Coturnix japonica: one gene and its partners. The protein of the gene in region 1 purifies or fractionates together with the protein of each later gene. This does not show direct contact. Links are inferred from orthologs where the notes say so. Each region holds a gene or a part of one and is shown on either strand. Other genes may lie near its edges. The genes, in order: ARMC8, HTRA2, ZMYND19 and MAEA.

Region 1 (7,196 bases):
TCATAAGGGCAACACATCAAAGTGCTAACTGCCTAGATGTTTGGGGAAGGTAACAACACAGGTTCTAGGCAAGTGAATTAGGGTGATGCATCACGGGACACATGACTCACAAATCAGGAACAACTGTACTGGGTATGATAATCAAGTGGGAACACTTGGCTGTAGGGATAATAGTGGCATCCCAGCTCCTGCAAGGTGTGAGCAAGGCAAGAAGCAGAATACATACAAAGCCTTGACTTTGGGATAGTAGACCTGCATTAGCTGAAAGAGAACACCCTGGTTGTCAGCGAGGAGAAGAGAAGGCTGAGCAGAGACATAAGAGCAGCCTTCACCTCAAGAAGACTACAAAGAACATGAAGGTGGACTCTCTATGGAGGTGCAAAGAAAGAGGAGACAATAATCAGATTGGAACAGGTGAGGTTCTAACTCATATTCACCTGGGGAACACTGGAACTGAATGCACTGAGAAGCTGTTTAATCACCATTGTTAGCAGTTCTCAATAGCCAACTAGACAATCCCTTCATGTCCTTACCAAGCAGAGTTGCTCTATGATTGACACCCTTGCAAACTCCAACCCAAAGGGTTCCACATAACAGAGCAACATTTTAAGCCTACTCAAAATGCCAGAAAAATGCCAGTATTAAGCGACAAGTTATTGGTATGAAAGAACTGTCCAAAATTAAGCTGTACGAACAATTTCCCCTGGTACAGATACACCATTAGAGCAGAATGTATTATGTCTATTTTTAATATTTTAACAACAATAAGTAATCTGTTCAGTAAAGTCCACACTCATCCTGTTTTTACCTTCTAGGGAGTAATTCAAAGAGTTTTTTTCCTTCTCCTCCAAACAAGCACCCTGCCATTCCAGGTGACTATTTTTAGAGACTTTCTGAACACTTAAAGCCATGTCATAATACCTATAATCACTCCTGTTCAGAACCTTTGCCATGTTTTTGATGCTACCACCAACACTCACTGCTTCCCAGTCAAATGCTCATTTTCCTTCTGCTTATTATCTAAAGTGCAACCAACAGTTTTTTTAATATTTAATTTGCATTTTTACATCTACTTAAAAGCAACTGTACGTGCAGAATCAATTCAATCCCTTGAAAGCCTGAGAGGTGTGTCCACCCCTGGGGACAGTCTCAAAGAAAAACAAAGGCTCTGTAATCCACTTCTTTGGGGTACTTTCTTTAAACTGAATGAGAGAAAAAGGGAATTGACAAACGATACTTCCCTACAAGGAATATCAAGAACAATCCTGTTTCCAAGACTGACTGATCTACTAGTGCTTTGGTAAGTGTATATACAGCTGGGAATAGAACAGCTCCTAAAACACCTATGATAATAAGCCTCCAAGGTATACTGGATCATTGTTTATCCAACCTCTTGCAAGTGCAGATAACATCTGGGAGATAACGTGAAATGATATACAGGGCATCCAGGTTTTTCTGCGTAACAGAAAAGAACCATCTCTGAACTTAACATTTTCCACAACTTCACCTATGAATTCACACCATCCACATCACATGGACTATTATCTCTTATGAAGACGAAATGCAGCGGCTCCTGAAGCTGTAAACTTGTAAACTCAGCACATGAGCAACATGACAGATGCCCTTGTCCAGTATTTCACTACTACATTGGGAAATGTCATGAAAATCCTATGAAGAAGCTGCATTAAACTATCCAGAAACCATCTTCCTGTGTTCCACAAAGAACAGCAAAATCCTTCTTACAAGATGTAGAGCCCAAATATACACAAAGTTCTTTGTTTGGATATTACAGGCTCCAGAATGAACAAAGACTTGAGGCCTAGTTGCATTAGGGTCATGGCCTAGCCTAGGTCTGGCAACCTTTCCATTGAAGAACTTGGATATAAGGCTGAGCTAAACAGAATAAAGAAACACCTTGAGCCCATTTCTTACTGTTTTTCAAAGATTCAGCAGAAGAACCTACCCTTTTGATATCAGTGATTGCACTCACTGAGCTGGGATACTTGAAGTAATCGGCAAGCATGACAATGAGGTGGTCAGTAATGCTGGCAATTCTCTGAAGTTCCACGTCTGTTTCAATCAAATAGGCCAGAGTTTCTGCTCCTTCTACTCGTTCCTCCAGCAGTCTCTCCTTGCTACACATTCGAACCAAACATGGCAGAGTCTGATGAGTTTAAAAAGAATAAAAACAAAATACTGTTTGGAACAGCTAGGTTCATAAAGAAACTCGAACAGCTATTTTAAAGCAATTCTCAGTAATGTTATTTGAACAGGTACCTTCAGACAAAAAGTATTTTAAAGACTACAGAGAAATTGTTCAGGCAATACTGAGTATACATTAGGCTACTTTCAACCAAGTTCTCATGCAGTGAAAAAGAGTTTAGATCAGATGTCACTACTGACACTGATGATACTGGAATGAACTGCATTTTGGATATCCGCTTAAAAAGATGGGAGAGATAGAAATTTGACTCTGCCAACATGAGGACTTTCACCTGTAATTACCTTGAATGGCAGATACGAAATTCCCCCTAGCAAACAGTGTAAATGTACCATACTCAACTGCGATTAACACTGAAACGTGTTTTCTTAGTGCAGCATCTTATAAAGAAACTGCCCTTTCCCCTGCATTACCAGAACACTGGACATAGGGACAGTTCCTGACGCGCTGCAGACAACTCTCCCAACCCTAACCAAGTTATGAAGCACTGATGTTCAGACAAACTTACAAAACTACTGTGAAATTTGAGGAACAGCCTGATTTTGACAGGCTCCTTTTATACACTGTGCAAGCATTTTGACTATTGTCTTCTGTCTTGACTACAGTCTTCTGAAACTTGCTTCTGAAACAGATAACAGCGCCTTGTTCGCATGCAGAGATCAAGGTAGGGATGTGGTTTCCATGTTACTTACAAACAGTTACTTACATCATTACAAACCTTAAACTGCTGTGTGTCAAACTTTGGAATATTTATTGCTGGATATCAACATTTTGGTATCTAAAAGTTCTTACAAGAGCTACACTGCTATAAGTGTTTTAAGGCAATTAGGGAACAACTGTTTGTTTAATTACTATCATTAGAACTTGGTGCTTTGAGATCACCTATTTAACAGGCTTTGCACTACTTTTTATACTAGACAAATAAAAACAGGAGTAGATCCTTATAGAAATGCTGTTTTAAACAGAATTGTCTAACTAGCTCACCTTAAGAACGATGCAAGAGTCATCTGTCCGTATTGCTCCAGCTCTGCACATGGAAGTAAGGCTGTGACAACACAATAAAACATAAATTCACTTATCCTTGGTTTTTAGCACTTAAAACACTGCAGAACAACCCGCTGTACTAATGAAATGTGCTCCCCTTTTGATTGATTTTCATACATTTGAGCTAACTGTAGGCACATGACCAAATTACAACACACACACTTGCAAGGAGATTTATAGCACAGAACATCTTGCTGGAGCACTGACCAACACGGACACCACACAGGTCAAAAAAAGGACTAACCAAGAAGCTCGACTGATGTACAAATCTCTTACAATAACAAAACAAAGTTAACTATGTTCACTAGGATAAAACAGCAATACGCACAGATCTGTCCTATACTGCCCACAGCACAGGAAAGGACTAATAAGGAGAGGGTCAACGGAGGGCTGACAGTTTAAGTCATAGAATCACCAAGGTTGGGAAAGACCTCCAAGATCAAGTCCAACCATCCACCTATCACCAATACTTCCCACTAAACCACGTCCCTCAGCACGACATTCAAACATTTCTCCACCCTGGCAGCCCATTCCAGTGCCTTATCACTCTCTCATAGAAGCAGTATTTCCTAATGTCCAACCACCTGAATCTCCCTGGTGCAACTTGAGGTCATTCCCTCTAGTCCTATCACTAGTTCCATTAGATCTCAACTTTCCCTTTTGATATGGGCAGATTCCTGTATGTTCATGTACCTAATGACCAGATGGCTCTGTAGGGCCTTCCTAAGCAGATCAACACTTCCTGCCAGCTTGGTGTCATCTGCAGAAATATTTGAGCTTGGCATTAATTTAGGAGACTCAGTACAGGAGTAGTCAAGTACCTTGTTTTAGCTTTCAAACTAAGCCATTGTAACTAGCTTTTATTGTGTCGCAAGTGGGAGGTTAAAAAAACCAACCACCAACTGCCATTTAAAGAAGGTGACTTAAAACTACCATTTCAATTCTTGGTTGGACTGGTTGAAACCATATATAAGGCCAATCACAATTGCCCATAATAATATGCCAACCTTAATAGCACCATGTTTCACTGCATTCCTATGATTTTTAAAAGAACCCAGAGTTCCCACATCTTTAATAACATCATTTAACCTGTTCCAAGTGTCTACCAATGAAAGACGTGAATAAAAATGCACTGATTATGAGATTTTAGCTATTATGACTCAGAAGTTAAACAGATACAACTCGGCAGCACAGAGATTATTTTCTAAACTTTTCTGTTCAAACTTTGTATCTTACAGCTGGAAATACTGATTTCCACGTCTGAACAATCAGGAGGAGAACACCAGTCTTGCAGCTGCCATTAATTCCTGTTACGATACTGTTTGCAGGACAAACTGACTCAACTTCGAACACAAAGTAAGTTAAAGTACTTCAGATAAATAGGCTTGGCTTAGATGGCAGCAATTACACTAATTTCAGTAGAAAAGGTGCTCTTCTCTAAACTGTTCTGCTTATAGGTGCAAATCACTCCCCCAAGAGGCCGACTTATTGCTCCCTCTTTGCCAAAATCACCGTTCAAATGAAGGATCCTTATTCCATTTCAATCAAGAGGTATTAAGTCAGATCTTCCAGGTCTACTTGAACAGTTGAAAAGCAAAGGAAGCTTCCTCAGATATCCCTGTATACCAGTATGTAGATTAAAACCAGCTTAGCAGAAGGCTTCAGAAATTCACCAAAATAACTCTACTTCTGTATTCTAAGGACTCTACCAATAAACCAGAGAGGAATCCCACGTTAATCAACAAAAGCTGGCACATCAAAAGTGAAGTCTTAATTTTTTATCAGAAAAGCAGTTACAATTTCACCTACTACTCCAGCCTAGAAGGAGTAGGAGTGAAGAGAGATACAGACTTACTTTAAGGGATACAAGCAGGGAACAGATTTAGAGAAGAAAAGCCAGTAGATTTTTGAAGTCCTTACACTGTCATGAAACTGATACCTTCAGTGCCCTAGGAAAGAGGGCTGCCCACAGGCTAATTAGGAGCCCACTCTTGAAGCACAAGACACTGGTTTGTTCCCCTCATTCTTGTAGGGTTTTTTTTGCTTTTCATTGCACATTTTTTCTTCTGTGCTTTCAAAAGTCCATTTGAGCCAAAAATGAGAGAATCTCCAGCCAAATCCCTCCAAATCAAAGCAGATTAGTAAAGAATACCAACATATCTGAGAGCGTTTATCCTAGAACAAGAAGAAACCAAAGCCAGAATAGATTTCTAACTGCAATTTGCCTTCATAACTAACCGATGCTCTTGTATCTTAAGTTAAAAAAAATAACCTGTTCTCATGAACTCGGTTTTTTAACCCTAATTCTCTGTTTTCTCTGAACTGCCAAAGAAACACAAATCGATCACAACAGACTTCTTCAAGACAGTTGATTTACCTTGCCTCCCCTTCAGTACCTGAAGAAAACCTGATTTGCTAGAGGGGAATGCAGGAGGCCCCCAGTCCAGCCTCCCACCACACAGTGGGATTACCTTCCTAAAACAATCCTCCCCAAACGTACACTTATTTATAATTGCTTTCATGAATGGGTTAAGTTGCCACAACCTGGCAACGTGACAAAAGAGACCATCCTCCTACTCCCCCCATCCTTATTCCTCAGCCAGAAACTCAAGCCTTTGCTCTGACAAGTGTCAGTGAAATTATTTTGGTGAATAGAATGAGAGAACTCATTGCTGTAAGCCAAAGATAAGCCACTAAAATCTGGACTAGCTGTAAATGGAAAGAATTAAAGGAGACCAAATCAAATAATCAATGACCAAACACTCAAATCATGTTAGATTTTAGTAGTTCATAGTGACATATCTCTTCAAACACCTGAAGTCATTTATTTACTCCATCTCATCAATATAAGAGAAGAAAAAGGGTCTTAAGCAGAGTTAGCTCCCAGCTTATCGAGTGTGAAACCCTAGTGTTAATGTTACAGAATTCAGTCACATTTTGTCACAAGGTACAAAGTCATTAGGTACATGAACATACAGGAATCTGCCCATATCAAAAGGGAAAGTTGAGAGATGAACTTTAAAATAAATTAGTAACTAATTCTGTTGCATGAACATATGAAGTTTAAAAAACAATCTATGCTTAATTAAACCATTTGAGAGAGTGTCTTGCTCTCTTCTTATTTTAGGAGAGGGCTTACTGTTCTCAATACACCACAGCCACAGTCTCCAAAGCAAACTCTCAGGACAGTGGTGTAACAAGCACATTATCTGGTAGTACACAATTACATTTCGGTATTATACTTTGTAAGGACAAACTACTGACTATAACCTATTTAACATAAAACTTATAATCAAATTCAAGCTACTTGAGAAAACTGCAGTTCAACTGAAGAAAACAGAGGTGGTTTTTTTCTTGTTTATGCTCAAGAAAAAATAAGATGACTAGGTGATAACAATATTTCAAGTATCTAGGTAATACAAATAACATCTTTCATTATTCCTACCTAAAGTTTTAGTTCCCTCGCATGCAGCGAGGATAAAACCAAAAGTTAAGAAGTACTAGATTGCACACTATTGCATTCCAATTCCCGATGAAAATTACCATTTGGCTGATGTGAGCTGCATTTCAATAGGCTTGTCCCTTTGTAACATCTTCACAAAGATTTGTGGTAACAGTTCTCCGTCAACCGACACTGTAAGTAATGGAAGAGAACTCAAAGTGATACTAATTCAATCAGTCAATAAAGTAAGTGTCAAACAAGCAGCGGTTGCATTATACTTACCATTTACCAGAGTCATTGATACCTGTGGGTTTTCAAAGGCTAGAACGGAGAAGCATTTCAAGGCTTGCATTCGAACCTGTTTAAAAAAAAACAATAAATAAAGCATAGATGTAAATGCTAACTTAAAAGTAAAACAGGACTGTATTGATGTACAAAGCAGCAGAAATAATTCTGCATCACCAGTAAGAAATTTAGATGGATAAAAAG
Region 2 (7,899 bases), on another chromosome or scaffold:
TCTGGGCACTGCACCTCCAGCCCTCGACCACTGGCCAGGCACGGCAGCCCGGCTCAGGCTGCAGCACAAGGGTACGATGTGGGGAGGCCCCACCACCCCAGCTGTGCCTCTCCTGCTCCCCAGCCCCAGTTCCTCTCACTTTGCTCCAACTTCTCTGGGGCTCTGCCCTCCTCCGGCAGCAGGACCCCACCCAGGGACCCCCGTCCCTGCTCAGGGCCAGCCACCCTGGTGCCCCAGCAGCCCCATCTCCAGACAGCATGGCTGCCCTGCACAGCAGTGCTGCCATCGACTGCCTAGGAGCAGTTCCCACACCTGTCTTAGTTGTAATTTTATTTTCTTTATAAAGATGTCAGTTCTATATCCTGCTGGTTCCTCTCTAGGGGGGGGGAGGGAGAGCAAGGGAAGAGCAACCCTGTCAACTCTTTGAAAGGGCAGATAACAGCAGGACAAGGGGAAATGGTTTTGAGGGAGACTCAACTGAGGTTGGATGTCAGAGGGAACTTCTTGACTCATAGGGGGAAGGGGGCACGGCCCAGCGGGGCTGCTTGGCATGGGGTAGAGGAGCTGCCCCTCTGCAGGGCACTGAAGGGGCTGCAGGGGCCCAGCGATGCTCCAGAGCAGCCCTCGGGGCTGTGAAGGTCCACGGCAGTGGGAGCAGATGGGGCCACCCTGGCTCAGTAGTGACACGGGGCAGCACAGGACGCCCCACGCCAGATGCAACACAGATGTTATGCAGCAGGAATCCCGAGCAGTGCGACCTCCCGGCAGCCCCACCGGGTGTGAGCCACAGGGCCTGCAGCTCCGGGCTGCCTTCACAGGGAGCGGCCCCACGGGGCTGATGGGGGAACGAAGCCCCACTGAGCCACTGAGACTGGGCAGATGTGGGGTACAGGACTCAGCTGAGTGGGGCCACCTCAGATCCCGCAGCGCTCATCACTCGGACAGAAGCTCTGTCTGCAGAGCGCAGCAGGGCAGGTCCTGGCTGCGGCCCTGGAAAGCGCTGCGGTCAGCGCTGCTGGAGCAGCTATGCGAGAAACGTCCCAGCTATTTCCCCTGCGCCGCAGCCCCTCCCGCGGCGGGTTGTGCCGGCGAACAAATTCCAGCGGCGAGGCCAGAGGGAGCGTGAAAGGAGCCCTGTTCTGTCTCGGGCCGCAGGGCTCAGAGCCGCCCTCCGCCACAGCCCCCCCAGGAACTGTGCTCCTTTCATCTCCTAAAGCACCAGGGCAGGGCACAGCGCGGCCGCTGCTCGCATTCCTGCCGCCGGAGCGGGCACCGCACAGCCCCGCACAGCCCCAGGGCACCGCACAGCCCCGCACAGCCCCGCACAGCCCCGTACAGCTCCGCACAGCCCCGCACAGCCCCGCACAGCTCCGAGCAGCGCACAGCCCCGCACAGCCCCGCACAGCCCCGCACAGCCCCGCACAGCGCCGCTCCCCGCCTCCCGCGGCCGCTGGCAGCGCGCTGAGCTGGAGCGGAGCGCGGCTCTTCCAGGAAAGCGAGGACAGCCCGAGCTGCTCCCCCGGCTCGTTCTGAGCGCAGCTCTTGGCCGCCAGCTGCCGAGGACGGGGAGGGAGCCGGGCAGCGGGGAAGGGCCTGTCGGGTCCCCAGGGACGCGCTGTGCGTGGGAGCGCGGCGCTCCGGGCTGACGGACCAGCTGGGGGAGGGATGGGGAGGGAAAGACGGACGGCGCCAGCGCAGCGTGCACAGCTCGCACAGGTTCCCCTGCGCGTCCGGCTGCCCGCACGCTGCTCCTGCCGGGCCCTGGGCTGGATGAGCCGGGACACTTGAACATCCTCCCCCTGTGACCCAGGGGCTGCGTTCAGTGCAGACGGACACTGACACTGGAGTGGTTGGTCCACGTGGAAGTGATCTGACCCACAGGACAACAGCCAGCTCCTCCTGGGAGCGGCCACAGCAGCGAACTCTGGCTGGGAGCAGCTCAGCCTGCACGAGGAGGCAGGGATGGCTCTGCCCAAGAAGCCCCGACCCTCTGCAACTCCAGGGCTGCTCTCACCTGCAGAGAAGGTGCCCCCAGGAGGCATTATGGGCAGAGGAAGCAGATCACAGCCCACATATAAGTGCCAAGGATCTGACAGTACACCTCTCCCCGAGCACGAAGGAGATCGCTGCTCCTCCCAGCTGCAGAATGGCAGGAGGAGCAGGTTCACACAGCCCAGCTGCTCCCAGGTCACACTCAGGACATCGTGTGCCATGGAAAAGAGGCCACGCTGCACTTAGAAAAGTGCTTTATTTGAGTAAGGAGGGGAGTGCTTTCACACCAGGTCTGTCCCAGTGCCGGGCCCCCTGCCGGGCCCCTCCAGGCCCTTGCGAGCTCCCAGTCTCTCCCCTATGGGCACACAGCTGTGCCTCAGTCCTGCGTGCCCGGCTCCTGGCCAGCACCATCAGCCAGCAGACAGAGCGGCCTGCGCTGCAGCACAACTACTCTGTGACCTCGGGCACCACGCTCACCAGCAAAGTGTCGTAGCTGCGCCGCACCAACAGGGCCAAGCTCTGCTGAGTCCTCACTGCCTCATACACATCCTCTGCACGGCGCGTCGCCTGGCCGTTAATCTCCAGCACCACGTCGCCAGCCTTCAGGCCTGCCCTGAGGGGAGAAGGAACGAAATTCATGGCAAGTGAAGCAGACGCTTGTCTGCGGCTTCGTCCTCCAGGAAGGAAGGAGAGCCAGGCACTTCAGGAAGCTGGGGCTGCTGTGCCAGGCATTCCTTCAGCTCCACAGGTAGTTTGGCCAAAGGGATGCCAAGCCCAGCCCAAGCATGTTGCACCAGTCGGCTCCTGCTGCAGCCTGCCTGCTCTGCAGGCCCCACAGCAAAACCCTCAGAGCTAAACCCATCCCACCCCGAGGCACAGGGCAGCACTTACTGATGGGCCGGAGAACCGATGATCACTTTGTGGATTAGCACTCCATAGGAGACATCAGGGAAGCTGGGGTCACGCAGCTTCAGCTCAGCTAAGATGCTGCAGAGTGAAAATGAGCGTCACGGTACTGAGCCTGGGAGCAGAGCAGGGCTCCCACCCAGCCAGGACCACACTGGGCTCATAATGCCGCAGAACTCTCATCCTGCTCCCCTGCACAAGTGACCGGCTGCCAACCCTGAGGTCACTCCAATGCCACCAGATTCCTGACAAAAACTAATCCTGACTGTGCTGGGGAGAACTGGAAACTGCTGCACTGCTGCCAGCTGGATCCCAGCTGCTGGCGATGCACGTCCTGTGTCTGAGCAGCCCCACATCAGACAGCTTTCCTGGTGTCAGATTTGCACCTCCTGTCCTTAAGTTTCACTTCCCTGTCCTGTGGGCAGGTCACAGAAGGAAAGCTATGTCCTTTTGTTCTAGCTAGAAATGTCAAGCAGAAGTAGACCTCTGTCTCTCTGCTGGAGTCTAGACTAAGCAGCCCCCGTCCCTGCAGTATTCCCTCAGATCAGGTTTTCCAGCCCTCGCTCTCAATTCTGCACCTCTCTCTGCTCCTTTCTGGGTTCTCCAGCACTGGATACAACACTCCAGCTGGATCTCACAACTGTGCATTAAGTAAACAGCCTCTGCACCAGCTCAGATCCACTGGAACCCCATGAAATACAGCACCCAGCTCCTTGCTCCCCACTGGTTATGCCTCCTTGCTTTGCAGCAGTCCCTGCTGAACTGCACTGCCCTTCTTTTTCCCCCACTGAGCTTTGCAAGCTGCCATCTCTTCTTGATGTCACAGCATTACAGCACAGACAAGGTTGGAAGGGAGTTGGTCCTACACCAGCCCCGTCCATCCCTGGAGGTGTTGAAGGCCAGGTTGGATGGGGCCCTGGGCAGCCTGGGCTGGTATGAAATGGGGAGGTTGGTGGCCCTGCCTGTGGTGGGGGGTTGGAGCTTCGTGATCCTTGGGGTCCCTTCCAACCCAACTGTGCTGTGATTCTGTGACTCTGTTATCAACACAAATCCAAACCATGGTACCATACAAGATGCTAAAACAGCAATGATCTCCATCCCAGCCAGCCCCCGTACAGAGGTCACTCAGACCAAGGGCGCATCTACAGACATTGTGCAGGTGACACTGTGCCTCCAGCTGCTCCTGAGCATGTGACAACCAGCAACATTTTGTTTCTGTGACGTTTGCCACTTGCTCTTTTGAATCCTACAAAATCAGCAAGTCCTATCACACACAGCATGAAGAAGCAACCCACATGTTTTAATGTCTCCACGGTAACATCCCTCACCAGCACTGCATCTGTTCAATGTAGAACTCATTTCCAGCAACCAGTATCTCTGTTTTCAAAGTCCTTTGCTCAGTCTGCACCTGCTGCATGCTGTAATGCAGGGCAGTGGGAGCTCAAGCCTTCCTCAACCCTGTATCAATCTTTGAGGAGACACTTCCCCAGCTGTTTCCTCTCCTCCCTAAAGAACCATCTGAATCTCAGCAACAACTTTTCATGGGCAAAAATGGGGTACCTATATGGGCTCTGTTCTCAGATGACAGTACCTGCCTCTGGCTTCAGTTCTGTTCATACTGGTGGATCTGAACCTCCTCCACAGCCTGATTTCCACGCCACCACCCCATGCAGCAGACTGTCCTGTCTGCTCCCTAGGCCCCGGCATCAGCTCCAACGTTGAGCACGAGCACCATCTGCTGGGCATGACTGCACTGCTGGCAGTGCTCCCCGCTCATACTGCTGCCCTGAAATCCAAGGGGCAGCGCAGCGCCTCATGCCTGTGTACCAATAACAAGCCCGGGCAGCTCGTGGCATCCAGCCCACAAACTCAACCAACCATACAGGAGCCACCGGAACTTTGGCAGGGGCACAGCACAGCCCTGAAATATGTTTCTGCCAGGCACATGCAGCCACCAACCCCAGCAACATACTGAGCCCCAGGAATCTCTTGAGAGCTGCTCAGGCACACACAATACCTTTGAACAGGAAAGCTGCTCAGAGGTGAGACTGCAAGCCAACCGCTCCACCTAGGAGGCTGTGAGCAGCTGACCGTGTGAAGCAGTGGCAATTCTATCTCAGGGCTTGCTCAGCCCTTCATAGGCCTGACCAGGGCTGCCCAGCACTCAGCAAGGCACATCTAACACAGCACACAGGGCATCTGCCCCGGGGTGCTGTGTTTGGCTCGTGTGTCTTGGAGGCCAGCAGAACTGAAGCAAGCAGTCTGGCTGCAGTCTGGCTGCAATCCTTTGTTAACCAGAGCATTTCTTCAGATGCAGAGGAAACAAAGTGCTCCTCCCAGGCTACAGACAGGATGGTGAAGTCTCAGGCCTGCAAGTCACCCCCTTCCATTTTCCAGTGCTGTCCTGCTCAGCACGACCATTTCTTTCCATAGGCAGCCCCCAAGCTTCCTCCTGCCAGCACTGAGAGGCAGCAGCGCTGGGTACCCACACAGCCCACTCTGTAACGTGCCTACCTCCTTCCCCAGCAGCCAAATCTCTTGCAGGCAAACGTGCACATTCTCATTCTGAAGGTCCCTTATTTTGCCCTGATTTCAGCAGCACAGCAGTTCACCTGCCAGACCCATCCCCCAGGGAGCACAGTTTGCACAAATTTTACACCAGAACTTTCAGTTGGTACAACACACGTCTGTTAATTACACAACATTTCTGGTAGCTGTGTTGCAAAGCCTCTTTATGGAACTCCTAATGAAATTAGCTACTAATGCGGCAGATTTAGAGACTTTTTATCTGCTTGCAGGTTCTGCCACAAACACAGACATTCGCAAGCTTCTAACTAACCCCAGACACACAACTTACGAGTCTGAACACAAGAGCAGCAAAGAGATTTTTGAAGGTGAACACTTAACCTTGTGAAGACGATCCTCTCAAAAACTCCCAGCAAGATCAGGGCCCCCTGACCTCAGAGCACGTACCTGGGTGTGAGAGTCAGCATCATCACCCCGATGTAACGGCGCTTCGTCTCCGCGTTGCCAAACCAGGAGCCTGTGGGCAGAAAGGATCTCTGACAACAACACTGAACACAGACATGTGCTCAAAAAAGCACGGGGCTGAGCCAGCACATCACAAAGCCAACACGCCTCAAGGCAGTGATTCCGAGTGATTCCGAGTCCCTACCAACAGAAAATTTCAGTGCATTGCATGCTTTCTTTTCTTGGTTTAAAACATCACTGTTTTGCTTGAGAATACCAAGCAAATATCATGATGTCAATGTGAGAACCAGACAGCAAGAATCTGCACTAAACAAATTATCACAAACCCCAAGGAACAAAAACAAGGCAGAGTTCTTGGAAACTCTGGAAGTCTTTATCTGTGGCAGATGAGCAAATGGATCTGCCATGGCAGAGGGGTTCACTGCCTCATGCCCAATGGGAGAATCTTCCTATTCTCCAAAGGTTCTTCCTCTTGTTATGTCTGCCCACATGCCCATGTCTTGTTATGTCAGCTATGCCACAGCTTCTTCCCTCTGTCATCACCCTCCTTCTGGCCTCCTTCCCACCCGAGCAGAGAGGCATCCAACTCACTTTTGCGCTGCTCCTCCTTCTGCAGGAACTTCCGCAGCCGGTCTGAGGGGATGGCAAAGGAGATGCCTGATGTCACCTTCATAGTGTTCACCCCAATCACTTCGCCATCCTGCATGGAAAAGGGCAACGTGTTCTCCAACCTGCACCTTTATGGAGCTGTGCAAAACTTAAAGCCTGCGCACCGTCCCCCCCTGGGCAGTCTGACCCTGCTGAGGCCGGGCAGGGATGAGTCCCACCAAGCAGAGCTCTCACCCCACGCTAATTCCTTGATCCCACCCTTTAAGATGCCGAGAGCACACAGTTCCTCCTTCCCTCCTGACAGCTGAGGATACTTGCACAGTGCTCCCACTGAGGGCACACAGCCCCAGGAGAAAAGGCCCACTGGGATACATGCAGGAGAACTTACCAAGTTGACGAGGGGACCACCAGAGTTCCCAAACTGGAACAACAGAGAGAGCAGCAATGAGGCCACAAAAGCAAACCTCAAACACTACCCCACAGTGAGCAGGCAGAGCCCAGGGAACAGGGCTCAGGCTGAGAAACAGCCAGATCACCAACCAGGAGCACCCTCCTCCCAGCCTGCTGTGCCCAGACCTCACAGCACACAGAGCCCTTCCCCAGAGCAGGCAGCGGGACGAAGCTCCAGCCCAGCCTGCGCCCTTACGTCGATAGCGGCGTCCGTCTGGATGTACTCCATGTCGGAGGCGGTCAGGCCCAGCTCCCGGCTGCCGCGCTGCGCGGAGCTGACAATGCCGGACGTGATGGTGTTCTGCAAGGCGAAGGGGCTGCCCATGGCCACCACGAACTCTCCCTGCCGCACCTCAGAGGAGCGGCCGAGGGGCAACGTGGGCAGCGGGTGCTGGAAGAGAGGAACCGGGTAAGCAGAAGGCGGGAGAGGAAGGGAGCCCCTGGGCAAAGTGCCCCGCACCTTAGGCTTGATCCGGATGGTGGCAATGTCTGCGACCTGGTCCACGTCCTGCACCACAGCGTCGTACTGCTCCCCGCTGGCCAGCTTCACCCGCACACGGCGCCGGTTGGCCACCACGTGAGCGTTGGTCACAATGAGCCCATCAGGAGACACCACGAACCCCGAACCGTTCGAGATGGGCACCTCACGGCCTGAGAATGGGTGCCTGCAAGGTGGGCAAAGGTCATGGGAGGACATGGGGGCCCAGAGGGGACCAGTGGGTATGTGTGAGGCCAGGCCAGCGGGCAGCTGCATGGCTCAGCATGGTGGGCTGGACGGCAGCGGGAGACTGTGAGGAGATGCCCGGATGACAGCAGGACATGGGAGCTCCTTCACAGCCCCGCGCTGGGTGTCCATCCCAAGAGTCTGCACAACTGTGTGCGCTATGGGGCAGCAAGCAGCAGGAACCAGAAATCCATGGGAATGGCAAAAGCGTCTCCCCATGAGGACCA
Region 3 (7,971 bases), on another chromosome or scaffold:
TTCAGTGCCTGAGAATGAGCCATGAGCCTGCATGAACCGCAGGCTGAACTGTCCCCAAATGCCACCATCCAAGCAGAAGGGAATGCAGGTTTCCTGCTTGACTGTGGTGACATCTGGCAGAGCAGAACCTCTACATACTGCCATGGGGTGAGATCGACCCTTCGTAGCATGGTCAGCACTAACTCTGGTCTTTCTCAGATGAGCAATGTGAAACTGCGATGCTATAAGCAGCCCGAGGTCAAATAAACGGGCTCAGCCAAGATGGACAGCACTAAACAGAAGAGGTGAAACAACTGAAGATGTTGGCAAGCATCATTTGATGGCATCTCCCCACCAAACATCAACACACCTTTGTTTACTGGAGAGATCCTCAGCTTTGGGTTTCCACCCCCACGGGACGAGGCGCAGATTGTCGAGCCGGTTGTCCACAGTGACTGAATTCAGATGCACCACCTGAAATCCCGGAGCGATCCCCCCGCGGTGCCTCTCCCTGCAGGAAACAAAACCATCCTGAAGCTCAGCAACGAGCGATGCTCCGCAGCCCCAAGCACTGCCCTGATTCCAGGAGGCCTCCTAGTCTGCTGCCATTGAAACGGTGACGATACAGCTCGGGCTGCAGTGGGTATTTCAGCTGTATCAGCTCCCAGAAGACAGAGATCTGTTTCAGGAGCTCATTTCCATTATAAATTAGTTGACTCAGAAGACAATCCTGGTACATTTGAATTCTAAGAATATTGCACAGAAACCTCCAGAAACCATCATTCCAGTTTCAGCACCAGCACCCATGTAATTATTAATGTTACAGCTTGAATGGAGCTAATATTGTTTTACTGTTTTAATATTAATAGTTTCTATTATATGTTCAAGTTTGGCACTGGCGTGAGTCAGTTTTTCATTTACTGAGTACGTCTCTTAAGCAACAGGACAGGGCTTTCACCACCAAACAGGCGAATATTTTTGACTAATTGTGAATAACAGACAGCCTGCAATGCCTGCATATTGACTAAGAGAAACTACTGCAACTTGCTTGAACCCAAAGTAGGAACAGCTGCATATTAACTCACGCCAGCCTGGATTTAGGGAAGAAACCAAGAAGAAGCATGGAAAAGAGTCTGCTGAAAGGGGCTGATGGAGCATCAGGTTTGTCCCTTTAGAGTGAGATTCTGAGGAAGGGGATGCACAGGACAGGTGGAACACCTGCACTCCGCTACATGCAGTAACTCAAGCTCTCTGCTTCTCCTTCATGCAGGAAATGCAGCTGTGATGGGTGCTGCCACCCATCTCCCTCACGGGGCCCCTGCAGCCCTGTCTGCTGTCCCAGAGCTCATGCGGGGGATGGTCCTTCAGCTCAACACACTGCAGGTTTGTTTTCAGAACAGCTGCAGCACAAGGAGAGCAGCACAGCGTGCTGATAGGAGGGTCAGCACTACGCAGCACCTGCAGCCAAGAGGCTTCTCAGAGATACAAGGAGGCTCAGGCAGCAAAGCGCACCGAGCTGCCTCGTGGTAGCGTGTAATTAAAGACCACAGCAAAACAGACGCCTTCAGAGGGACCAAACCAACTTTAGAGAACAGCTGAAATGCTCAGTGCTTCCCAAAGAACCTGACTGTATCTCCAGACCTGCAGGTTGGCTTGCAGGGCAGCTCACAGCTCGCCTCCAAAAATCCCCATCACTCAGAACCTCGGGGGTTTGACACCAGCTTCACTATGGTGAAGTCACACGATTTGAGTTACCCAACTGAGCATGTTACAGCTGTTTCCTAACAGAAGTCCAGCTAATGAGAGAGGCAATGACTGAGCTGTACGCAAAGCCCTGCACACGCTGGAGCAAGGCAAGCACTGCAGGCTCTGCTGTGAGCTGCACAGTGAGCAGGGGCTGACAGCCCCACTCACACCACACAGTGCAGCCAAATTCTGACTCATTTCCAAAGTTGTGTACTGTCAGATTAAACAATAACAGAGCAGGTTAAAATCCATATTTAATGAGCAGATTTAAAATAAGAGTAATTGTGCCTGGCGTTTTTCCTGCCTCTCTCATCCAGGGACTGAGCTGGGGGAGAACAAGTAACCTCAAGCAATGAAGAAAGTACAGGGAGATCTTGGGTGCTCTTTCATTACAGTTTATGGGACTGAACAGAAAGCATGTTTAATTCTTCAGAAAAGGCTTTTAAAAATAAATAATGGTTCTCTTCAACATAGCCCAGCTTTCCTATAAACCCATGAAGAACACATTTACAAAGTGCCTCTGACAACCAGTTGCTGGGCTCTGAGTCCTAATGGCAGCTACAAAGAACTTCAGGCAAAGCTCCCTGCCACAAGGGGAGCAGACACAGCAGTGTAGGAAGCAGCAGCACCCTTCAGGATCCAGAAAGACGAGCAAAGTCCCCTAAGTTGTGGGCTATCAGCTGCTCTATCCACAGTCTGTCACTTCTCACCTACCTGCTCATCTCAGGACAGAAGAAGCCCCAAGTGAAGATTCAGTCGCATTTCCCAGATTGAAGCAACACAATACTCACCTGTAACCACCCTCCCTAGAAATAACATTATTGGAGCATCAGCTATCTCAGGGCACGGTGCAAAACAGAGCCAGGCCAGGGCATTGCAGCACTGCTCTGGGCTCTGAATGAGGCCCCAAATGCTGTGTGCAGTAACAGCCCCGGGCCCTATTGTGATACCCACCAGAGCAGCTCGTGCAGCAGGCGGCCGGATCCCCTTCCACGGTTTTTGTCAAAAGCGTAAGCAAATATTTTAGCACCATTTCCATCAGCATCCACCTCCATGCGAGCCTGGAGAGAAGGGGAAGAGCGTGAGATCAACTGGTGCTGAGCAGCAGAGAGTGAGCTGCAGTGGGACAGCGGTAGGGACAGGCAGCACCTCCCACGTGTCCACAGGACACTGAATTGCCGTGGAATTGTGCTTGTTTCAGATCTCCAGCAAGAACGAACCTCTACTGCTACGGCTCCATGGGATGGTTGTGCTGACATGGACCCCAAACCCCCCCAGCTCAGGCTGCCCAGGGCCCATCCACAGCTTTGAGCACCTCAGGACGGGCACCCACCGCTCTGGGCAGCGCTGCGGGGCCTCACCGCCCTCTGAGGAAAGGATTTCCCCCCAGATCAGACCCGGATCTCCTCTCCCCCCGCCCCACGATGGAGGTGCTGGACCCCCCCACAGCTCCCCCCCTCTCCTGGCCGGACGCAGCGCCGCACGTGGGGCCTCACTATTGTCACTATGGCCGCGCGGAGGAAACGCGGCGGCGCTCAGCACAGCTCGGAGCTCAGCACAGCGCTCAGCACAGCGCTCAGCACAGCGCTCAGCACAGCGCTCAGCACAGCGCTCAGCACAGCCCGGCAGCGCTCGGCCTTCCCAGCCCCGGGGGCGCGGGCGGCACCAGCAGAGCTCGGGGCGGGACGGATCCGCTCCCACGTGCGGAGGGAACCTCGCAACTTTCCCACTCCGACAGGGGGAGCGCCGGGAAACGGGCCGGCAGCGCTGGGACGGGAACGGGCGGCGGGGACGGAGCGGCGGGTCGGGGCTGCGGGGCTGCCCGGCGGGTCGGGGGCTGCGGGGCCGGGGCGGATGCTGGGGCGGGGAGCGGATCCCTCGGGGTCGGTTCCCGGGGCGGCGCGGGGCTCACCTCGAAGGAGAAGCTCTCCACCAGCGGGATGTCCTGCTCGTCGATCAGCGTGTACTTGGTCTGTAACACAGCACCGCGCTCAGCCGCCGCCCCGCGCTCCGCCCGGCCCAGCTCCGTGCGGCCGAGCCCGGCCCGACGCTCCCGGCCGCGCCCCCCCCTCGGTCCGTCCGTCCTCCCGCCGCGTCCCCCCGTCTCCCATCCCCATCCCATCCCCCCGCACCTTCCCGGCCACGCGGCCGAGCCGCACGATGCCCAGCTTGAAGTCCGTCATGGCCGGGCCGCGCCAACTCGGAGCCGCGCGCGGGAGCCGCTGCCACGCGCCGCCGCCAGGCGCACACCGGGGGGGGGCGGGGCGGCGCGCCACCTCCCAGCGCCACACACACACAGCGACCAATGGCGGGGCGGGAAATGCGCGCGTCGATCTCACGACGACGCCGGAGCGGCCAATGGGAGAGCGGCGCGAAGCGGGGTCACGTGGGAAAGGAGGGCGGGAGGAGCTGGATGGGGGCGCGCGCGGGCGCGGGTTCGGGAGCGGGAGGAGGCGGCGCGCGCGGTGACGTCACTTTCGCGGGAAGCTTTGTGCCGCCTGAACGGAGGGAGGGGCGGGGCCGGGGGGGTAACGGGGGTAAATGGGCCGGGAGCGGGGCGATGCGTTATGGGTATAGCGATAAATAGAGCGAAACTTGGAGGCTGGGGGGCACAGCGAAGCCCCGAAGGCCTGACAGCGGCCTGGACACAAAGCGGGGGCTGTGCGCGGGAACCGGAGCGAACGGGCAGCACCGAAAGGCCGGGGCTGCTGCATCCAAACTAGTGACCGGATCCGGGCAGAAGAGGAAACATGGGTAAAATATGGGGGATGTGGGGAAATAAATGGGGCCGTGGGCAGCGCTCACAGGGCTCAATACGGCTCCTCCCGTCTGTCCTCGTACAGATGCATCGCGCCGCAGTGGGAAGAACTGTCCGAGCTCGGGGCCGGCCAGCAGGAGAGTGAAGGTGGAACATGGATTTAATGTAGGTTCTTACTGTGTCCGTCCCTGCGCCTCCTGCCTCGGGAGTTTGGGTGGGATGAAATGAACCATTGGCAGAGCAGGGGCTCTGCTAAGGCTGAGGTTAGCGAGCACCTTAAAGCTCTTTAAACTAAAGGTGCTTCTGAAAGAGGCACCGCTCTGCCGAACTGCCCTCCCCATCAGTGATGATCATTGCAAACCTCAGCTGGAATGGAGCCAGCCTGGACAATGGTGTTTCCCCAGGTCCCCCCAACACAGCAGTGTCCCCATCGCAGCCTGGGGCCACTTGGAGATGTTCTTTCTTACACAAAGCCAGAATCTGTTGCAAGTTGTGTTCTTGGAGAGGTGAGGAATGTGCTGAATCCAAAGCAGAGCTCACTTGGAGAGCACCAAAGCCTCCTTGCTTGGAGCCTCCAAGTCAAAGAGTTAAAAATAAGTGTCTGGGATGTTGCTCTTTTGCTTTATTCCCTGGTCCCCCCCAGAGAAAGGCCCTACAAACAGCTGGAGGAACAAAGGGCAGCAGAAAGCAGGAGAGCTCCTGCAGCTGCTGATGAGGCTGCATGAGATCTTACAGACTGATAGTCGGGGCTGGGATGTGTGGTACAGCTATAGGCTGATGTATAGGCTGTTTGAAGGAATAGAAGGTAATTTTGTGTTATGCCTTTCTCCATTTCACTGCAGCCCTTGTGCAGCCTGTGCTGCCCTCAGCCTGACGGAGCCATGTACCCACCCTACATCAGAGAGCAGCGGACAAACCTGGATGTTCTCAGGAACCGTAAACCTATCGGTCAGCACAACCCCCCCCACCCAGCCCAGCCTTCATCCAGGGACCCTGGCAACCCCTTGTTGCAGCTGCACATCCCACTCCTGCCCATGAGCCCAATGTGAAGTTATCGCACTGCTGCTCAATGAGCATCTCAGGTGGAAGATGTCCACCTTTGGGAAGCTCTGTCCTTCTCCCCACTGGGCAGAGCAGCACAGAGCAGAGCAGGCACAAGGCCTTATCTCAGCAGCCTGTTGTCCAGTCATGTGCAAACAGGTGATTTCTCCTGATCTCCATGCTAACATTATGTACATTTTATGCTTCACAAGCTGTACGAGATGCATTCCTAGTGCATGACTGCTGTGCACTCAGGCAGCGTAGCCCAAAGCCACACTTCAGGCTTAAGCAGAATCTTGGGAGGAATTTCATTCCCACTCCCTTCAGAAAAATAGCTGTGCACTGAGAAGGCTCCTCCCCACCCCAGGATGCTGGTGGGGCCGAAGTGAACTGTGCTCATAACACCACTGTTAGCAGGGCTCAGCAGCACCCAAGTCAGTTAAAGCATTCAGATCACCAGGATTATTCCACTTCAGCTTTGTACAGCCTGACATCACACACCATCCCTGGTGCTGTGCCACCCCAAAGGAGAGCACATGGAAATAGAGCAATGCTAGTTCTAACCCAGGAACTTCAGAGAACATTGGTTTCACCTGCACGCTGCAGCAGTACCTCACTAACAGCTCCACATCACTCAGGTGTGAGCACCAAGCATCAAACCCTGTCACATACAATGCACATCAAGCCCAAAGCACCTCTCCATCACAGGTTGGTTATGTTGTTATAGCAGAGCTTGGAAGTTTCTTTACACTCCATCAGATGGTTTGGAGCAGCCTGGCCAGGTGGCACTTGTTTTTCACAACTCCCAAAGGGAAATACCAACACAAATTGCCTCTTTTTAATTTCAGAGACGCCAGGACCTGGAGCATATGATGTAGACCCAGGCTATCGAGCTTGCTTACCCAGCTCCCGCAGCATCACCATCCAAGGAGTCAGGAGACCCAAGAGACACGACATCGGCCCCTTTACAACATTCTGAAATAAACTGCAGAATTCCACCCCAGCCACAACCTCTTCAGTAGTTAAAAATACACAGGAGCTCAACCTCAGTCTGAATGGTCTGTATTTTTTTCTGGTCATCAGAAAACCCTGGTATAAATTTCCTGATAAAAGACACGAGAAGTCTGAGCAAAGAACCTGCACCAGGGATGCCCACACTGCCACCTAAGCCAGATGTTCCCCCTGCTGGCTGAACGAGGCCAAGCTCCATCCCATCAGGCACAAATGCTGTAGCTGCCAGCTACACTTGGCACTAAAAAGCAGCTCACAAAGCTCTCCAGTCAGAGGTGTTCGCCATTTGCACATGGGAATGCTTGCTTGAACCAAGTCCACTAGCAAAATCCCACATACACAGAACTGGACAAGGACAAAAGCAGTGGTACTGTTAACAGCCTGGTGTTTTATTAAGTATTTAAGGTGCTACAGAAGATGTAAGAACCTTCATATGGCAACTTTTCCATTTAGCTCTGTGGAGAGAAGAAAATACAGCTCATTAGTAGAGATCCCTTTTAGTAAATAGCTTAATTACAGCAGTTTCAGCTAGAGGTTGATACTTACAGCTGGGCACTCAATTGCACCACTATTGATGTCATCAATGATATCGTGTGGGTGTCTGCCATCAATGCTGCATCCCACAGACTGAGCAGTTCCAAGGATCTCCTTAATTGTCCCTGCAGTTGGAAAACACAGCTTTAGCACAGGGAAAACCCTGAAGAACCATTAGATAGCTCAGTTCCTAACTGCCTCAGCACTCCCATGCCATCTACCATCACCCAGTTCAGAAGGTGACAGCACACAGCCTACGCCAGCTAGAGGGCACTGTTGATAGAAAGCTCCAGAAAGCACTATATGCTACAAGCAAACCGAGTGCCTAAGGTGCTACCTACTACTCAGCCCCATACAATGACAGGAGTAGTACTGCAGACAGCTCAGGCTCCCTCAGTTAAGTCCTGCCATGCACTCATGCCTTGCAGCTGGCACTGCTTTCACCAGGCAGTAAGAGGATGGCTGCTGCCATATGATGTTACAGCTGTTGTGTCAGCACAGACAAGCTGTAGGAGCTTCACCCCACCAGTAATTAGGTTGTACCAAGAATCAGCCAAGAGCCTGAGCCACTCGGATCCCACAGCAAGACTCAGTCCCATCCCTTAAGGTCAGTACTTACCAGACAGCTCTCGAGCCAGAGATCTGTGCCTCATCTGCCGGGCGATGTTCACTACCTCATCAAAGGTGATACTGCCATTGTGCTTTACTGTGAAACAAAGCAATGGCACCAGTGAGCTCAGTGAAGCACAGTGCAATTCCAGCCCCCCATTCTCCAACTGAGGAGCAGCATTCCTCAGTTCACACAGAGAGCCGTAAGGTTACAGCTACACTGGGGCTGTGATCAGTGCTGCTGTTCCCAGCCTTCGGCACAGAGCTACCCACAAGAAGAATAACTCTGTTTC
Region 4 (7,196 bases), on another chromosome or scaffold:
AAGGAAGTTGAAGCTCAAAAAAAAGTAGTTTTCTGAGCATGGACTATTCATTGTTAAGATGCATGACTGCACATTTGGCAAAGAAGCAAAATTAGCAGAGAGTAAAGCTAAGGGCACAAAGGCACAGTATTCACTGGATATAAAGGGCACAACAGGCTTCAGAAGACAGACCAAGTAGTTCAGTCTTTCATCCTTTTCCTAAGTACCTGGCTTAATTCCTTAGGACCTCAGAGCTCTATCAAAGAATATGCGTATGTATCTTAATGACAGTGTGTAGCCTCTCCATCCTTCAATTATTAACCTGCTACAATTATTTAGCAGTTTCATCAGACTGCATATTTGGTCATAAGAGAGACAACAACCATTTAGGTGCAAGTAGGGCAAAGCAGGAATGATATGAGGTGTCTCAAAGCCAACAAAGAGACTTGAACAAAATCAGAAATAACATCTGAAATAACCCCTAAAACTAAAAGGTGAGTCATTTTGGTGTAGGTGTTAACATCAGGCCTCCCAACACTGCTGAGCTACTTTTTCCTTCCAAAATTCAAGAAGGTCCAAGTTTCTCATCCATTTATTCAAAGAGAAATCACCTGGTTCACCCTGCAGAGGAATTGCTACACCTAAAGCAGATGACAGAGCTAAGAATGCTTTCAGTCTATGCTTATGATACTTGATGTTTGCTACAGCTCCGCACTCCTCAGAGCGAAAAGCAGCTTTTCCACAAAATACAAACCTCCTGCTGGTTTCAATTTCTAGTACAACTTCAAAGGCAGTAATACTTACCACTTCCTCAATATAAAACTTGTCAGAAATCTTAAGGTGTAACAGATATCACTGCACTGTATTAAAGAAGCATGAAATCTGTCCATAAAGCTTGTCATCTCACCCTAGGTTTAAATATCCTTAAAGATAAAAAGAACCAGAACCTTCTCCATGTCTAAGATCCAGCAGCTCTGCCCCTGCATCAAAAGTTACGGTGCTGGAAAAAGTACTCCTTATAAGAATTATCAACACATTTTATAGTCACACTATCAAATTTCCACTTCTTTCAGCAGAACTGGTTCCTGTATTATCCTGGAATATTATTTCAAGACTTTACATCAAAACTGCAAACTGAAAAGCATAAATTGACTCATAGACTGTAAGTGCCAGAAAGACCATCTTGTGGTTGAAGCCAGGCCATGGTCAGACCTAATTTGACTCTCACTCATTCACATCACCTTGGGCAGTGTTATTTTCTTCTCAAAGTTCTAATGTTAAACTAGTTCAAGCGATAAAATGGATACTGAGTTTATCTGGGGCTAGGGAAATGGAATGAGACATGACTTGTTATCACATAACAAGGAATTACCAAGTTATCCATTCAATACAAGAAGTACAAAAAGCAAACTTAGCCTAATGCCCAACTATAACAAACAAGATTAGTGAGAACAAAACAGGAGACAATTCAGTCAAATGAAGTGTTAAGCTTCAGATGTGTTTCTTTCACCTTTTAGTACTTCCTGTAACAAAACTGCAATGAGTTCCTACCAGAAACTACCTGTACATCTTGAAAGATAAGTACGTTCATTACACACCACCAGAATACTTAGTTTTAAAACCAGCTTTGTAATCCTTAACTGTGGAGTCTGTGGAGATGTGGAGTTTAAATAACAACAGATTTTCAAAGTTGCACCTGGACTGACACCTTACCTTTGGAAAACACAAAAAAACACCATAACCTCAACTAAAATCCAAAACCTGATCACAATAACACTATCAAGACTAGTGGCAGCTATGGGGCTTTCAGGTATTGCAATAACAGTCACATTACTGATGAAGCATTCTATTGCTGTAAGAAACATTTGTAAAACATCCTGTTTTCATACCTCACAGCATCCAGTCTCTTGTTCTGTCGAATGAGTTCAATGAACTCCTGAATCCTTAGGCTGAACTCCAGACAGCTCTGAAATCAAAGACAAGACAGGGTCTCAGATGGTGTCAAAACCATGCTTTTCTCCAGATGTTAAATACTATGTGTGCACAACAAAGAAGTGTTAACTACATGCAACCTTGTTTGCTTGCTTTTAGGTATTCATGCAGAGAAAGTAGAAATGCTGTCTACAGACAAGACAGCAACACAATTCCCTAAAAGCAAACAAAAAGCTCCTTCCAAACTTCAGTATTTACAAAAAGTGAACATTTCCTTGATGACTGAAATCATCATTTTTTGGGATGCAAGTAAGAGTAGTAGGTGAGTTCTCAGTACTATCTTAAAGTTAAAAGCAATAACTCAGTAGAAGGTTGGGGCCGATTTAAGACATGAGAGATTGACCCAAAAGACTGCAAGGAAGAAATAAGTCTTTAAACTCATTCTGAAAGCACCCTCCTCTTATGAAAAGCAGCACTGAGTCTAGACTGCTGTGGTCCTTCTCTCCCCAGCTCCCTTTTTTCCAAGCTTCTAACCCACTGCTGTTGTCAAAACATCTAAAAGCCATGCTGAAAACAAATCTCAAACAAGGAAACCAAGTGACATTTACCTGCTTGGGGAAAATATAATTTGAAGCTTAATGAAATTGACAGTGTCTCTTTAAATCAAATTTCATCATCAGTTCACAAAAAATTCTGTATTAAAAATTTTATATATATATAGAATTAAAAAGGTTCTCCCTCCTAAAAGAACAAGCCATTATGCCTCTATATAAGGACACAGTCAACTATTTTATTACCCTAACAACCAAAAACTAGAACCCTTTCTGAATCCCAAAAAATAACTGTGTTTTTGAATTACACTGAGTTGCTCTGTTAGGCAAATCTATTTTCTGTTCCCCAAAGCTTCTGATGAACAGTTGCCTTTTGTTTATCATCCATCAGTACAATACCATCCAAAACCCCTCAGTGACTTCAGGAGGAATTTGAGCAACTCCAAATTTCAGTTAATTAACTGCATGGGGTCTCTGATGTGCACATTACAGCAATTTCTTGTCTTGAGATTAGAAATGTCAGCTGCTTAAAGTGATACGTTCTGTCCTGTTAAGGTACATTTGTTTAAGGAGTGGGAAGTACGTTACTTTCCAAGTACACCTTTCTCTGTGCTCAAGTCCATGGTTTGCAAAGAACTAAGATTTCTTTTTATTTGCAATTTTCAAATAGAACTCAAGATCTTTTGTTCAGATCTACACAAAAGCCTTATTTAGAATATTGGTTATGTTGGTTTCTATTAAAGAAAATTAATAAAACTTTCCAAATTGTTAATGATACCAATCCCAATGGCTCAGTTATTTCATTAACATGTTTCAGCAGTAAAGAAAAGTCTCACAGCTCTCCCCTACCATCCCCCAAGAAAACCCAATCTGCAGAGACTGTCTGAGTAGGGCTTGCAGTATTTTTCTTCCATTCTCAAAGGATGACAGGGAAAATTTTTATCCTTACTTGTTTGGCAAAGATCAGGGATGAAAAAAGATATTCGGCTGTTAATTTCTTCCATAACTTGCTGTATTAAAATTATATAGATACATATGTTTTCCCAGTGGTATAGCTATGCAATGCTGTTTACATGCCAATTCTGGTTTTCCTTTAATGGTTTTTCCATTAAAAGATCATTTTCTTTAGGGTAATCACTGGTCATTTTACTCTTGTGTCCCATCTTTGGTTCATTCTCATTTTGGTGCCCGATTGACAGAGAATGTCACTCATTGCTTATCTTTAAGGATACTTAAATATCTTTTCCTTAAAGAAAGCTTAGTTTGAAAACACCAAAACCACTGAAGGAAGTAGAGATTCTGATTAATACAGTCAAACAGATTTCTGCAAGCCCTGAAAGAGACTATAACGTTGTTTTTAAATGTAGAATTTAAGAGTCAAGGAAATTTAAACCAACTGCACAGGAACACAGTGAAATAGCATGTTCAGGTCACACTCAGTACTCAATAGCTAGAAGTCAACTTACCGTGTTTGTTACTCGATAAGACTTGCTTTTATTTTTGCAAGAAGGTCCTCAGTACTTCCCTCATAAAAAGCTACTTCTTCACTCAAGTCTGCTTAGTTTTATATTTACATATATTGCACTTCAAAAATATTAAGACAAATCCATATGATATTCCTCTCAGACACAGGCTTACAAATTAGTCTCACTGTTCATATATGAACTATGAGCTACATTCTCAGCTGGATACTGAGTGCTATACACACAGATTCACATGCTCTGAGACACTACTACACACATCGCATTAAAGTTTGGCATTCATTTGGGCTAGCTCAGCACCAGTAACCTTAACAAATACATTTTGTACTTACTTCCCTTACTTTTACATATGGCTTTATTCACAACCTATAATTTAAACCAAATTGACCATATCAAATAACCAAATACTTTAGAGAACCGCTGCTTAGGCAAAACATTGACATTGTTTTCATACCTTCATTTTTCTGAGCCTGGATTTGTTATCATGACACCAAGCCAAGCAAGTCATAGTCTCTTGTCTTTCCAATGACTCTTCCACTTCTTTAGCAGTCAAAAACATCTCAATATTTACTAAGTCCTTTAATAGAAAAGAAAAAGGAAAGCACAGCTTGTTAAATCATACTGATATTTTACACAGCAATCCATTTAACCAACTGGAGCACGGAGATATAAAAGACTGTTTCAGAGACATCTTTAAAGGACTTTACTTAAAATTTGCTGTAACAATTTTGTGAACACCGCATCTCCATGTGCCAAGACAGACTCTTCTAAACCCATTTATGCACCAGAACTAGGAAAAAGAAATAAAGATGACATCTTGGAGCTTTGCGAGGAAATGGACAAGATCTCACCAGCTGGGTGTAAATCCACATTTCCAAGAATACTTGGTATCCACAATGCTTGTCTTACATCAGTGGACTATGCCAATGTCTATAGTATATAGTTCCTCCATTGCTTAATGGAAGTAGATATGTTTAAAGAGGAGCATCTGGTATCAAGTTTGTCTGGAGCAAGCCTTGTACCTCTGCTACTTCACTGCAAGCTGCTTTACACATCTGTACCAACCAAGGATAACACAACCCAGGAAGATTTAAGATCTTCTAGGCTAGCAAGTTATTTTTTCCCATATATATCTCAAAAAGCATTTAGTTTGTTTCCAAATTATATGAATAAGATTCACTCTGAACTGGCACTACCAGAAGTTATTTCTGAGCTGCATAAACATATCATGCTGTTACAGTTCACACTTTGTTAAAGAAGATACTCTGTGAGATACCATAACTCAATACACAAGCAACAAGCCGCTATCAAATATTTGATTAACACACCAGTTTGGAACAAGTTCACTTTTATGGAGACTTCACAGCAAAATGCAGAAAATCATACAACTGAAATGCTAAGTATGACAAATGTTAGAGTAGCTGCAGTGAACCAAACCACTCTCTGGAATAGGTGGCATTTTCAGCTGTTAGAACAGCTGAATATATTCAGTCTTAGACTTCCCCGAGGCAAACTTAAAAAGCAGAGAAATGGTGCCAGGCATATCACATTCACAGCTTGCATTTCATCAGCCAATTTTTCCTTATAGATACAGGAAGCCTCTTACTGGAAAAGCAGGCCAGATTGGACTAGTTTTGTCAGAATGGTTATTTACAGAGATGCAGACATGTTTCATGTACTTCTAAATTAGAGTGTAAGTGGTTAAGCACAAAAACTTCTCCTAAAGTTCTCTCCATGACTTAAGAATTCGTTTTTGAAGTCATAGGCAAAGTTTATGTGTTACGACTCTAACAACAGCATTATGCTATCAAAAAAATTAAACTGACATATAACTCTCAAGTTACCAAATCCAGATAAGATTGAGATCAGAGCTAAAGTAGTAAAGTAGTAGCAGTTTATAGAAGGAAATGAATCTTGCCCATGTAAATCAACTGTATGAGCAATCTGACATTCAATGCCACCATATCCATTATCTTGTTTGCCTATTTCTCCATACAACTGTTAAAAATGACTAGAGTTAAGAACAGCATTCCCCACACCAAGTTACATGCACCCCCCTTTAGTAAGCAGCATTTATTTTCACATCAAATTACAACAAAATCATTTACTTCTACTTTCATAATGGTCTAGATATGCAAGGTATACCAAGAAATCACTGGTTTTGTTGTTTTTGTTCACATTTGTTGGCCTTTTCTGACTCCATCAAAAGTATGGTGTGTTTTTGAAGATTCACATAGGCATTATAGGTCAATGAACTGGTGAGAAACCCAACCAAAAGCATTTATCAGTGAGGTGATAGTATAGCAATCTTCAGCTATTCCTTGAGGGAAAAGAGGTTGTAGCAGCTGCTGAGAACAAGAAGAACTTCAAAGTGAAAATAACTCCTACAATCCTTTTGCAGACTTAAAATAAAAAAGATGCTATTTGGTACAGACACATCAATTGGACTTGTGTCTGCCAAAAAGGTGTCAAAGCTTGGCAGCTGCCTCCATTAAATAGACAGTATGTATCCAGAAAACAGAATATTTTTAATTGAAAGGTTTTCTTTTGGAACTACCACCACATTTAAATTGTTCCAATAAATGTTTTTGTTCTCTGTTGAGTAGGTAGGAAGTAACAGAACAATATAAGAAATCCATTTGTGGAGAAAGAAATGGCTTATGGATTTGATAACCAACAGTTCTAAGTCTTAATTAAGCACACTAGCAGAATAAGAATACTAAAATTCAATCAGGCAATATACTTGAAAAAACCTACATATGCTACAGTGACTTATATCTGATCACACTTCCCTATTTTGGTTGTGCCTCCACAGTGTATTTCTTTAGCTGTTGTTAATGAAATAAAAGTATGGAGCATGGAAGGACCATGTGGCTTTAAAATGGCACAGGTCTTCTGTGCAGGTCAACACTATGTTTTGTAGAGAACTACTCCTATCTCACAGCCTGCATATAAGCTATAAAGCAATTTTAAGTACTCTAATTATCATCTTCTACAACACTGCAAAGTGTTTCCTCATTTCACAGCTTCAGTTTCCACACTAAAAACCAAAAGATCACAGTATTTTATTCCCAGACTGCAAAGTTACAAACAAGGCCTATGCTGCACAGCGTTATCAAACCACAACATACAAGCACAACTCCAGCCTCCCATGTATCTCCTTGATAGCACTGCCTAAATTAACTCACAAAAGCAGAACACTTAACTTTTGATAGGAGGACTAAGTAATGGCAAACCTACATCTAAGTAGGAC

The links.
Region 2: the proteins of ARMC8 (region 1) and HTRA2 purify together in Homo sapiens (affinity purification with mass spectrometry; 5 studies listed by BioGRID and IntAct, with this or other methods). This does not show direct contact. The link is inferred for Coturnix japonica from reciprocal best matches to the Homo sapiens genes ARMC8 and HTRA2.
Region 3: the proteins of ARMC8 (region 1) and ZMYND19 purify together in Homo sapiens (affinity purification with mass spectrometry; 4 studies listed by BioGRID and IntAct, with this or other methods). This does not show direct contact. The link is inferred for Coturnix japonica from reciprocal best matches to the Homo sapiens genes ARMC8 and ZMYND19.
Region 4: the proteins of ARMC8 (region 1) and MAEA purify together in Homo sapiens (affinity purification with mass spectrometry; 5 studies listed by BioGRID and IntAct, with this or other methods). This does not show direct contact. The link is inferred for Coturnix japonica from reciprocal best matches to the Homo sapiens genes ARMC8 and MAEA.

What each region holds. Positions count from the first base shown.
Region 1 is NC_029524.1:2,441,198-2,448,393, reverse strand, and holds part of ARMC8 (armadillo repeat-containing protein 8), read right to left. Parts: intron 7,066-7,196; coding exon 6,990-7,065; intron 6,900-6,989; coding exon 6,809-6,899; intron 3,267-6,808; coding exon 3,206-3,266; intron 2,165-3,205; coding exon 1,964-2,164; intron 1-1,963. UniProt on the Homo sapiens protein: Component of the CTLH E3 ubiquitin-protein ligase complex that selectively accepts ubiquitin from UBE2H and mediates ubiquitination and subsequent proteasomal degradation of the transcription factor HBP1.
Region 2 is NW_015439533.1:473,724-481,622, reverse strand, and holds the end of HTRA2 (serine protease HTRA2, mitochondrial), read right to left. Parts: intron 7,614-7,899; coding exon 7,145-7,613; intron 6,920-7,144; coding exon 6,887-6,919; intron 6,590-6,886; coding exon 6,481-6,589; intron 5,942-6,480; coding exon 5,872-5,941; intron 2,980-5,871; coding exon 2,884-2,979; intron 2,606-2,883; coding exon 2,440-2,605; 3' UTR 2,230-2,439; downstream 1-2,229.
Region 3 is NC_029532.1:875,209-883,179, reverse strand, and holds the start of ZMYND19 (zinc finger MYND domain-containing protein 19), read right to left. Parts: upstream 3,998-7,971; 5' UTR 3,909-3,997; coding exon 3,858-3,908; intron 3,698-3,857; coding exon 3,638-3,697; intron 2,787-3,637; coding exon 2,680-2,786; intron 491-2,679; coding exon 350-490; intron 1-349. Other genes in the region: protein STPG3, read left to right, coding at 4,476-4,479, 4,569-4,648, 5,326-5,431, 6,373-6,503; RPL12 (60S ribosomal protein L12), read right to left, coding at 6,985-6,990, 7,082-7,194, 7,689-7,775. UniProt on the Homo sapiens protein: May be involved as a regulatory molecule in GPR24/MCH-R1 signaling.
Region 4 is NC_029519.1:76,605,022-76,612,217, forward strand, and holds part of MAEA (E3 ubiquitin-protein transferase MAEA), read right to left. Parts: intron 4,521-7,196; coding exon 4,398-4,520; intron 1,946-4,397; coding exon 1,869-1,945; intron 1-1,868.